Linked DNA regions of Elephas maximus indicus. The protein of the gene in region 1 interacts with the protein of each later gene in a pairwise test. Links are inferred from orthologs where the notes say so. Each region holds a gene or a part of one and is shown on either strand. Other genes may lie near its edges.

Region 1 (3,750 bases):
TTGAAGGCAAAAGAAAGATGAGTGACTAGTGGCCGGTTTTGTTGTTTGTTTGTTTGTTTGTTTGTTTGTTTTTCTTTTGAGGTAGCCTGGTTTGTTATTAACATATCAAGATAATGAGAATTGCCGTAACCACATCTCCAGATTGATGATGCCCTTTCTTCCCATTGCCCATGATAAGGAAGGCCCCACCGTTCATGAAGAGTTGTTGCCTTTTTGATTTTTAATTTTAGATACTCTCTACTTGGCATTGCATACACTGTAAAGCATAAAACTTTTATGTTAACAGGATCAGCATTAAGAAAATCTATGAACTGTGCTAAGTCCCAGCTTCCTTCCATCAATTGTTTTTATTTCTATGTACTTTTGAAGGCATGCTATTTTTTTTTTTTAACTCACAGGATAGTATTATTATTATTTGTCTTCAAATGCTATGGTTTTCCCAGAGGCACGAACAGTTTCGTTAATTCTTTTATTTTCAGATAGATAGGTAAAATTAATAAATCAAGTAGCATACTTCATTTCTAAATTCAATATGATGTCTGTAATTTTTAAAACTGCACTCCTCTAGTCCTAATAGCTAAATTTCATTAACCCAGTGGTGACATCTCCCTCAGTCTCAGGGGCACGGGTCGCATCCTGGAGCCTGTCCTGCAGGAGCAACTTGATTTGGCTTTGGACACGGGAAGCCAGTTCAATATTTCTGGCTTATTTTCATTCACAAGCTGTCTCTGACTTGGGAGACCTTTTTCTTTTTTTCCATTGGGGGTGGGAACATTTCATCATTTACTGTAACTAATTCCCTAGAACGGTCCGGTCTCCTTTCCTCTAAAAATGATTGCCTTTTCCCAGTATCCTTTGCAACAGTGTAACTGCCATTTTTTCTAGAATGTTCCCTCACCCACATTGAATGTAGCTTAAAAGACTGGCAACAGATTTTTGTGACTCACGTGATTGGATTTCCTAATGGCCAGGAAGCATAGAAGCCTCACTTGCCTCACCCTAGTCCTGGCCCTGAAAGATTGATAGTTCAGATTTGGGGCTTTTTTTTTTTTTTTTTTTTTTTGGTTTTTTAAATAAAATAAAGTGCCATTTCACACATTCTATAGTTATACAGAGTAAAGTTATATGTACTCCCCAAGCAATATATGTTTCAGGCATTCTAGACTCCCAAGGGTTGAACTTCAGCTTACCAAAGGACGACCCTGAGCCTCCTGCAGGTCCTCCCAACCCTCAGTTTCCTGCCTGGCACACAGAAGCTTCCTCCTACCCCCACCTCAACATCTGGCCTTGGTCCACCTAGCATGGTCGACTGTAGCCCCTACAGCCAGTCTACCCAATCCCAACTCTGTCACCGAGTGCCAAAGGTCCCATACAGTACCGCTTTCTTGGGTCGGGGAGCATTCGTATTCCAAGCTGGTGAGACTCCAGTCGAGCCAGCAGCCTTTGACTCCAACTTCTGTCGCCGCTGGGAGCCAGCACCCAGGGACCGGAACCCACGATCCATCATTTCTAGGAAGAACAGAGGCCCCAGGAATAGCCATGGAGTTTGTACCAGGGCTTCCTAGGCAAAGGACACACCACGAAGAGAACAGGGCCCCCAAACCTCTTGAGGATCAAACTGCGCCATTCACCCCTGTCCAGCGAGTGACCCCAGCTCTCAGTTCAAAAGCTCATCAAGTATTTACTGAAGGCCCAGTACCGGAGAGAGAGCAATGACTAAGAGATAAGACCCCAGCAATCAAGGAATTGACTGTCTGTGAGTGTTTAAAGAGGAGTGGTTGTGCAAAACAGAAAATAATTAATGTAAGTTCAAAATAAAGAGATAGAGGCACCAAAAATGATGAAAATGGCAACATGATGGAAGGAAAGGACTACTTTTAGGAATCTAGGGAAAGAACATCCCAGATAGAAGAAATAGCAAGTATACAGGGATTTGGTATTGCTGTACTGCTGTGAGGGAGGCACAAGCTCAGGGTGTGATAAGGACAAGCATTAATGCAGAGTGGAGAGGCCGCTGTTGTGTGTATACACCACAGCCTGAGGCACTGAGGAGGGACCCTGGTGTCGTGTAGACCAAGGTCAGGCAAGGCACTAGAGGAGTGGGAGAGAGAACTGGTCTGTGCGGTCTTGTGACTCGAGTCTTCTGAATGTTTTGCAATCACTGCAGTGGTGGCTTGGACAAGGGAGAGACAAAGGGCACACACATGTGGCCCCCACCCTCCTCCCTCATGGGTTGCTCTGGGTTCAGTGACATAATGCGTAAGCTGCAAAATGCTCATATCATGAACCCCTGTCCCCTCAGCACATAAATATATGCACACCAAGGCACACACACATACATTCCCTCACACAAGTACAAACACATATATGCACACACATGAGTGTCCACCCAGGCACGTGTACACCTCCTCCAACACACACATGCCCAGGTGCCAACCACCTCAGGGAAGGGACGTTTTAGGGCATCCTCACCTGTCATCAGCTGCTCCTGGCTTGGCCCTTTGTCTCCAGGACACCGCTCTTCTGCCAAGGACGCTTCCATCTCTTCCTTGAGGCTAAGGGGGCCTCCTGCCATCCCAATCAGCTATGGCCAAGGACGTGCAAGGTGCAGGGCCCAGAGAGGCACTTGGAAATCCACCTCTTTGAAGGGTGGGAGCCCCAGAAAGATATACCCAGGCCTGGGGGTGGAGCCAGACTCCCTTTCTGGGCTCAGGCCTTGGGCCCAGCACCTTCTGTTCCTGCTGTATCTTCTTGGCTGTGTTCGAAGCCTTCTCCCCTGCTACTCTGTAAGCAACTCAGGAGAAGAGATAAGACTTCTCTGCCTGTGGGAACTGCTCTGACTCCTGGGTCTCCTGCCATGGCCCACTGGGGACGTGGCGGGGGGGGGGGAGTCCACCCTCCATCATGGTTAGGGAGAGGCAGGAATAGGGGCAAGGCCCCAAAGTCAGGCAGCAGCCAAAGCAGGGCTAGCTCCCAGGCCAGTGGTGGCTTCATCCAGTCTCCCACCCCCATCCAAGAAGGAACTCTCAGCAGAGCACACCCTGCCTCCGTACCCAGGGTGCCTATGCAGGGGAGGCAGCCTTTCTCTGACCTGGGTCCACCTGGGCAGGAACCATGAGAACCAAGGGAGGGAAAGGCAGGCCAGGAGGGACCTGCCTCTAGCAACACGGCTCCTGCATGCAGGAGGTTGGCCAGTGGCCATGTGTGAGTGGTGGGCTTCAGACCCAAGATCCCAATGGGAGGCCAGGAGGCCTGAAGCTCTTCCCCTCCCAGAGACCAGACAGTTGACCCTGGAGAGGAGAAGGGGGCCCAGAGCACATCTGGCTTATGTGTGTGTATATGTTTGCAGTTTTTTTCATACAAATGAGGTAATACGCTACATGGTTTTCTGGCACTTACTTTTTAAGCGAACAGAGGGCCTTGGGGATCTCCCCACGTCAGAGCAGATCAATCTCAGTTCTTTCAAGATAGCCCAGCTTCACGTCTGTGTATTGTTCATACACTTTGAGCTTTTGGATCCGGTGTCTTTTCTAAACAATGTAGCAGTGAGCACTCCTGGACAGGCCTCCTTGCACATATGTGCCAATGTGTTTGCAGGGCGGGTGCCTCGAATGGAATTAGAGTTCTAGGCTATATGTAAGGAGCCCTGGTGGTGCAATGGTTAAGTGCTCAGCTGCTAACCGAGGGGTCAGTGGTTTGAACCCACCAGCGGCTCCAAGGAAGAAAGGCCTGATGATCTGCCGTCAGAAA
Region 2 (3,750 bases), on another chromosome or scaffold:
ATGACCAGAATGCTCCTTAGAAACAAGGATGGAGAGACTACGTCTCACATACTTTGGACTTGTTGTCAGGAGGGACCAATCCCTGGAGGACATCACGCTTGGTAAATAGAGGGTTAGTGAAAAAGAGGAAGACCCTCAGTTAGATGGATTGACACCGTGGCTGCAACAATTGGCTCAAGCGTAACAATTATGAGGACTGGGCAGGATGGGGCAGTGTTTCCTTCTGCTGTACACAGGGTCGCTATGAATCAGAACCGACTTGACGGCACCTAACAGCAACAACAAAATCTAATTGTTTAGTCATCATGCTCATTGACCTCTCAGCAGCATTCGATGCTACTCCTTTTGGAAACTCTTCCCCCTTGACTTCTGTGGCCCCAGGCCAGCCTGTTCTCCTTCTACCTCCCTGACTGCTCTTTCTCAGACTCTTTGTGGGCTTGTTTCACCATGGACTATATTTTATACGCATAGGTTTCTGGTGAGGAATGAATTGGGGATGTTGAGTGCCTAGAACAGTGCCTGGGACATGACAAGTACTCAATAAATGTAGGAAATAAGAATAATTATAATGACTATTTTGTGTATTTTCTATCTGCATAGGGTGATATGGGAAACCCTGGTGGCATAGTGGTTAAGAGCTACGGCTGCTAACCAAAAGATCAGCAGTTCAAATCTACCAGGCACTCCTTGGAAACTGTATGGGGTGGTTCTGCTCTGTCCTATAGGATCACTATGAGTCTGAACCAACTCGACGGCAGTGAGTATGGTATGGGTATGATAGGGTGATAAACAAGGACTATCATAATCTTCGCCTACATGTGATTCTAGATTCTCTCAGCCCTCTCCTCTGACAACTATACTTTGGCCATCTAGAAACTCCTCAAACTGCCAAGTTCTCCCACACTTCCATGCTGTTTCCCCTGTTGTTCTCTCTCTCTGGAAGGCCTTACCTAACTCCATTTCACCTAGCTAAATCCTCGAAGTCACCTCCTGTTGTGGATTGAATTGTGTTCCCCCCAAAAATATGTGTTGCAATTCCTAAACCTCTGTATGTATGGATGTAATTCCATTTGGGAATAGGACTTTCTTTGTTATGTTAATAAGACCGTATCAGCATAGGGTGTGTCCTAAGACAATCGCCTTTGAGATATAAAAGAGTAGATTAGGCACAGAGGAGGAAGCACAAATGGAGGGCACGTACACTCCACACGAAGCTCACCAAGGAACCAAGGAACAGAAGTTGAAAAGAGATAAGGACCGTCCCCCAGGGCCAACAGAAAGACTTCCCCCAGAGCCAGTGCCCAGAATTTGGACATCTAGCCTCCTACACTATGAGAAAATAAGTTTATGTTCATTAAGCCACCCATTTGTGGTATTGTTGCCTGATTAGGGTCTGTGCCCTGGAGGAGTAGAGCCAATGAAATGTACTCTAAGTCAGAAAGAGTGAGAAACTTTATTTAGGAGGTGGCCACCAACAGGAATCTGACAGTAATGCAAGCTGTCTCTATGGAGACCCAAAGGGCAATTTTACATCAGAGCTTACACATGATTTTTACTAGGGTTAGAAATACCTTTGTAGCCTGCAGATGGCGTGGCAGGAGGAGTTATTCATTACAAGATAATGACAAGAGATTCTTTTTCAAACTAAAGAGATACATGCTGGGCATCTCCTTATCAGGCTAAAGATATACATGTCAGACATCTGGGCTCTGATTTCCCTGTGGGGGGTTGTAAGTCACAGGTGGTTGGACAGAACAAAACAAAGTTATTAGCATCAGATCAAAATAAATAACAAAGTTATTTGCATCAGATTGAAACAAAGTCATTAACAGAGGTACGTGGAAAGGAGAAGGCAAGCAGAGGAAGGAGAAAACCTTACAGGTTCATCAGGGCGTTAGTTATGTGAAGCTCTCAGTTTCCCGTTTTGAAACAGAGAAAACATGCTGGGGAGTATTAGGGTCACAGTATTTACGTCATAGCAGCACTAAGAAACTAAGTCACCTCTCTAGGAAGCTTCTCCTGACACCCCTGGTCTGCTTATGCTGAGTTAATGCCTCTCCTGTCCCACTAGGAGCACCTTGTTTCCCATTCCTAGGTCTAGCACCTAGCACAGGGTAGGTGTTTGGTAACTGTTTGCTAAGCGGATGGTAGCTCCTGGGTTCAGTATGTTGGAAAATATTCATCTCTAAGTTTTTCTGAAGTTATAACTAAATTATCTTTGACAAAAATATGAAATATAACATGAAGTATATGGCTATAAGGTCACTATGAGTTGATATTGACTCAATGGCAATGGGTTTATATATTAATTTAGACATAACCCAAAAAACAAAAACCAAACTCATTGCTGTCAAGTTGATTTTGACTCATAGTGACCCTGTAGGACAGAGTAGGACTGCCCCATAGGATTTCCAAGAAGCGGCTGGTGGATTTGAACTGCTGACCTTTTGGTCAGCAGCCAGAGCTCTTAACCACTTCGCCACCAAGGCTCCAAATTAGACGTAAAGTACAGTGTAAAACTGCAGATGTGTATCTATGTAGATATAAAACTGTAAATCAAAGAAATGTGTCTCTCACCATCATTATACTTCAAGGCTAAGAAATTTTTTTCAGGGAACGTTATATCTAACCCTATGCTTAGAACCAATACTATCAAATCTAAAGCCGACAGTTACTTACCACTTAGCTGTTTCCCAACTGGGCAAGCCCTGTAGCCTTCAGAGGGCAGGCAGTCATTGTCACATCAGATCCCTGGCGATGTCATCTTCATGGGCTCACCCCAATACTGCTTGCGATGACCCCTCTGTTCCCTCTCAGTCCTGACTCACAAGGTGGGTAGGGCCAAGCTGGGACCCAGGGTAAGAGGCTTCAGTGAGAAGAGAGAGAACGTGAAAGGTTTGAAAGACTCTGCCATCTTCCATCTTTGACTTCACAGAAGACTAGCAGTGTGGATGAGTGGCAGGGGATTGTTACCTCACGCGCTGCTTGGGTTCATTCCAGAAGAATGCTTCTGGGAAATCAGGTTTCAGTGGGGGTTTGACAGTGGCAGATGCTTTATAAATCACCCTGCTTTTCAGAGGAAAGAAAAAAACTGGACAGGAATAGTGGGGGAGGAGCAGGGCAAGAGATAACCTCTCTGTGTACCCTCCTCCCAGTTCATCTCTCCTGAGCTTACTGAAAATGACCCTGTGCCACCAACTTAATTCAGAAAGTATTTACCAAAATTCTGTGATTAGAGTAATGAAGGTACCCTTGAAGTATCCACTTCTTTGTATTACCATAAACTAGATTTGGCAGGTTTTTTATTCTTATATAAATGGAATCACACAGGATATGTTTTTTGTCTCTGGATTTGTGTGTGTGTGTGTGTGCATTAGTATATTTATAAGATCATTCATGTCATTGCATGTAGCAGTCATTCATTTTCATTAACATTTATAATTCCACTGTATGAGATGTCACAGTTTATCCGTTCTATTGTTGGTAGACATGTTGTCAGGAGGGACCATTCTCTGGAGAAAGACATCATGCTTGATAAAGTACAGGGTCACTGGAAAAGAGGAAGACCCTCAACGAGGTGGATTAACACAGTGGTGTTACCTCATATTGCAGATTCGAGCTGCCTGACGCAAAGCCAATACTGAGACAGGAGAAGGTAAGCAGCAAGAGGGCTTTATTGGACACCAGTGTACAAGAGACAGAGGGGGTTAAATTTCTCCCAAATTCTGTCTAACCCTAAAGAGCTAGCGG
Region 3 (3,750 bases), on another chromosome or scaffold:
CAAGGTTAAACGTGCAGGTTCTGAAGCCAGACCTCCGGGGTTCCCAACCCACTTGTAGTACTAGCCAGTGAAGTGACTTTTGGCAAGCCACATAATATCTCTTAACTCCAATTTCCTAACTGTAAATAAGAATAGTACCTACACCATGAGGTTGTTGCAAGCATTTACTATGAAGTGCTTTTCACAGCCCTGGTTAAGAGCTTGGCTGCTAACCAGAAGGTCAGCAGCTTGAATCCACCAGCTGCTCCTTGGAAACCCTCTGGGGCAGTTCTACCCTGTCCTGTAGGGTCTCTATGAGTCAGAAGGTTTTTTTTTTTTTACAACAAAATAAGTACTTAATAAATGTCAGCTCTAATCACATAAATTGTTTGTTTTGCATTCTCTCCTTATGAGATGATCATTGCTCACGGTCTTATTACACACTAACAGGCTCAGATTAAACATGTGTGTCATTAGAACTGTATCGCATAGAGTTTTTAAAAGTAGATCACCAGGCCTGTCGTCCGAGGTGCCTCTGGGTGGATTTGAACAGCTGACCTTTCGGTTAGTAGCTCGGTGCTTAACTATTTGCACCACCCAGGGAGCTGTGTGTACTGCCCATTTACTAAGTGCCAGGCACTCTTCTGGGCACTTTACATTGGCACTCACACCAAAAACCAAACCCACTGCCTTTGGGTCGATTCCGACTCATAGCGACCCTACAGGACAGAGTAGAACTGCCCCATAAGGTTTCCAAGGAGCTGTTGGTGGATTTGAACTGAGGCCTTTTGGTTGGCAACCGAGCTCTTAACCACCGCACCACCAGGGCTCCTCAAAGCTAGCAGGTATTGTAAATGTCTCCATTTTAACACCGGGAAAGAGGAAGTTGAGAGGGTGCCCCAGGGACTGAGACACCAGCTGTCGCTACATCCACAGTTTGCACTTGGAAGTCCCCCCAGGTTCTCGTGACTGCAGGTGGTCTCATCAGCCCAGGTGTCACCACCTGCTGGCATATTAGCCAGGCAGGACATCGCTCCCTTTGCTCAAGAAACCCCGATATTCTGCCTGCGGGCCCCCAGGAACTGCCTGGGCAGTCCAGGAGCCAGGAGGCTACAAGACAACCGGAACAGACCGACGCCGTCTCCTAGCAACCGGGCCGCGCTCACGTGGTCCGGGAGCGCGGATAGGGTTGGAGTTGCTACAACGGGCGGGGCGGGGCCGGGCAAGTTTGTTTCCAGACTTCGGAGCCGAAGAGCTCCTACCGCTGCAACGCAGGTGCACTGGGCCTGGGTCAGGATGGAGCTGCCCGCCGTGAACCTGAAGGTACGACGGGCGGGACGGGGCGGAGGTGGCCACGCCGCGGGCAGGCGGGGCGGCGGGTATCTGGGAGTGTGTTGGGTGTTTGCTTTCTATAAAGGATTTTAAAGGCGGGAGGACGGAGAGTTTGGCAGGGAGAAAGGGGAGGAGGGAACGGACACCACCCCAGGTGAGAAGGAGGTGGGGAAGGTAGGCCTCAGCGGGGAGGAGGGATCCAGAAAAAAGCGAGCAGGGAGGATCCAGAGGGGGGACTGGAGGCTGACCAGGGTCGGAAGGGCCGCCTGGTCCCGGAGCCGGCCTCCTCCAGCTGGGAGCTCCGCCCCGGAGGATTGCAGGGCCTACACGCTCAGAATTCCTGTGGGGAGGGAGGCAGGCGCGGGGGGAGGGGCCCACTGAGCGCCTGCGGCAGGGGCTTGAGGTTGGGCCACATCTCCCCCAAGGAGACGCTGAGACCACACTTTTCACTTGGGCCCCCAGTTGGGTCCTGCTAGCCTCCTTTATTCACTCAGTGAGGTTAAGAAAAGGCCCCTGGGTGGAGCAAATGGTTTGCCCTGACTGTGAACCTAAAGGTGGGCGGCTTAAACTGGATTACCAGCAGCACCGCAAAAGAAGGGCCTGGCGATCTACTTCTGTAAAGATTGCAGCCAAGAAAACCTTATGGAGCAGTTCTACTCTGTAACACATGGGGTCGCCCGCCATGAGTCAGAATCAACTGGAAGGCAACAGGTTTGGTTTTCGTTTTGGAGATTTAAGAAAATCAGATGTTGCCAGAAAGTGGTTTTCAGAATTATTAAGTCTAGCTTTCTTATTTCAAGCGAGCAGAAAAACCCCACATTGTGCACTTTGGAAGACACTGTGGGGCTTCCTGGGATGTCTTCATTTCCTGTCCTGTGTCTTCGGCGTTGTCACGATGCCAGCGGCTGTTCTTCTTTTTCTCCCCGCCCACCTCCAGCCTTCGTCTAGGTTCTGCCTGCAGACAGAGGGGCTGGGCCCTTAGCTTTGGTCTGGAAGGCTGAACCTTGGACCAAACCCGCCCATTTAAGGTCTTGGTGCAGCCTCCTTTGGGACCATATCCAGGAATGCCCTTTTACTCAGGAGTGACAAACCATTTAGCACCCCGTGGTGTGGTGCCTGGTGCAAGAAGAACCCAGGGGTGGCTGATTCCAAAACGACTCATAATCTATGTTTCGATTAGACATGCCTGTGCTGTGATTTCACCTGGGTGCAGATTTTCTTTTCAATCAGCAGATGGGAGGAGAGATCCCTGGAACAAGGGGTCGGACTTGGGTTTAAAGTTTAGCTGGGAAGAAATTCACATGAGGCCATCTGAGGTTTGTTGGTATCAGTACCCAAGTCTTTTGAGCACCTATGCTATTCCAGGTGGGTTGGGTTTAATGTAGAAGGTATACACCTGCTGACTGCCTTTCCTCTGATTAGAGATTTGCACAAACTAATTGCTAAAAATGGGAGAATCGGGTGAGGGACAGTGCTGCAGGAACTGAAAAGAAAGAAGAGAGCTCTCATTTATGGAGTATCTGTGGTGTGCCGGGATTAATTATTTAATCACAACAACCTCCCGAGCAAACTTTTGACAGATGAGCAAACTTTGGCTCAGAGAGGGTAAGTAACTTGACCCCAGAAGCCACCCTCTGCAGTGGGATGCAGAACATTTTGTTAATAAACTTTGTTATGCCCAGTGACCTAGATGTCCCCCGAAACCATTGTCCCCAGACCCCAGCCCCTGCTACTTGGTCCCTCGAAGTGTTTGGTTGTATTCAGGAAACTTCTTAGCTTTTGGCTTAGTCCAGTTGTGCTAACTTCCCCTGTGTGGTGTGTTTTTCCTTTCCTTCACCTGAGATCATTCTTGTCTACTATCTAGTTAGTGAATACCCATCTCCTTCCCTCCCCACCCTCGTAACCATCAAAGAATGTTTTCTTCTGTGTTGAAACCTTTTTTTGAGTTCTTATGATAGTGGTCTCGATACAATATTTGTCCTTTTGCGACTAAGTTCACTCAGCGTGAGGCCTTCCAGATTCATCCGTGTTGTGAGATGTTTCGTGAATTCATCATTGTTCTTTATTGTTGCGTAGTAGTCTGTTTTGTGAATGTACCATAATTTATTTATTTGTCTGTTGATGGACACCTAGGTTGTTTCTATCTTTTTGTTATTGTGAACAGTGCAGCAATGAACATGAGTGTGCATATATCTACTCATGTGATGGCTCTTATTTCTCTGGGATATATTCCAAGGAGTGGGATTGCTGGGTCATATGGTACTTCTATTTCTAGCTTTTTAAGGAAGTGCCAAATCTATTTCCAAAGTGGCTGTACCACTTTACATTCCCACCAGCAGTGTATAAGTGTTCTAGTCTCTCCACAACCTCTCCAACATTTATTATTTTGTGTTTTTTGGATTAATGCTAGCCTTGTTGGGGTGAGATGGTAACTAATTG

What was found.
Region 2: the proteins of FATE1 (region 1) and CCDC70 interact in binary tests that used the Homo sapiens proteins (3 or more experiments, as listed by UniProt). The two-hybrid records come from large-scale screens. The link is inferred for Elephas maximus indicus from reciprocal best matches to the Homo sapiens genes FATE1 and CCDC70.
Region 3: the proteins of FATE1 (region 1) and AGTRAP interact in binary tests that used the Homo sapiens proteins (3 or more experiments, as listed by UniProt). The two-hybrid records come from large-scale screens. The link is inferred for Elephas maximus indicus from reciprocal best matches to the Homo sapiens genes FATE1 and AGTRAP.

The regions. Positions count from the first base shown.
Region 1 is NC_064846.1:4,708,322-4,712,071, forward strand, and holds the start of FATE1 (fetal and adult testis-expressed transcript protein), read right to left. Parts: upstream 2,576-3,750; coding exon 2,473-2,575; intron 1,510-2,472; coding exon 1,353-1,509; intron 1-1,352. UniProt on the Homo sapiens protein: Involved in the regulation of endoplasmic reticulum (ER)-mitochondria coupling. Negatively regulates the ER-mitochondria distance and Ca(2+) transfer from ER to mitochondria possibly implicating it in the regulation of apoptosis.
Region 2 is NC_064832.1:25,625,944-25,629,693, forward strand, and holds the start of CCDC70 (coiled-coil domain-containing protein 70), read right to left. Parts: upstream 2,926-3,750; 5' UTR 2,680-2,925; intron 1-2,679.
Region 3 is NC_064821.1:51,597,837-51,601,586, forward strand, and holds the start of AGTRAP (type-1 angiotensin II receptor-associated protein), read left to right. Parts: upstream 1-1,200; 5' UTR 1,201-1,275; coding exon 1,276-1,302; intron 1,303-3,750. UniProt on the Homo sapiens protein: Appears to be a negative regulator of type-1 angiotensin II receptor-mediated signaling by regulating receptor internalization as well as mechanism of receptor desensitization such as phosphorylation.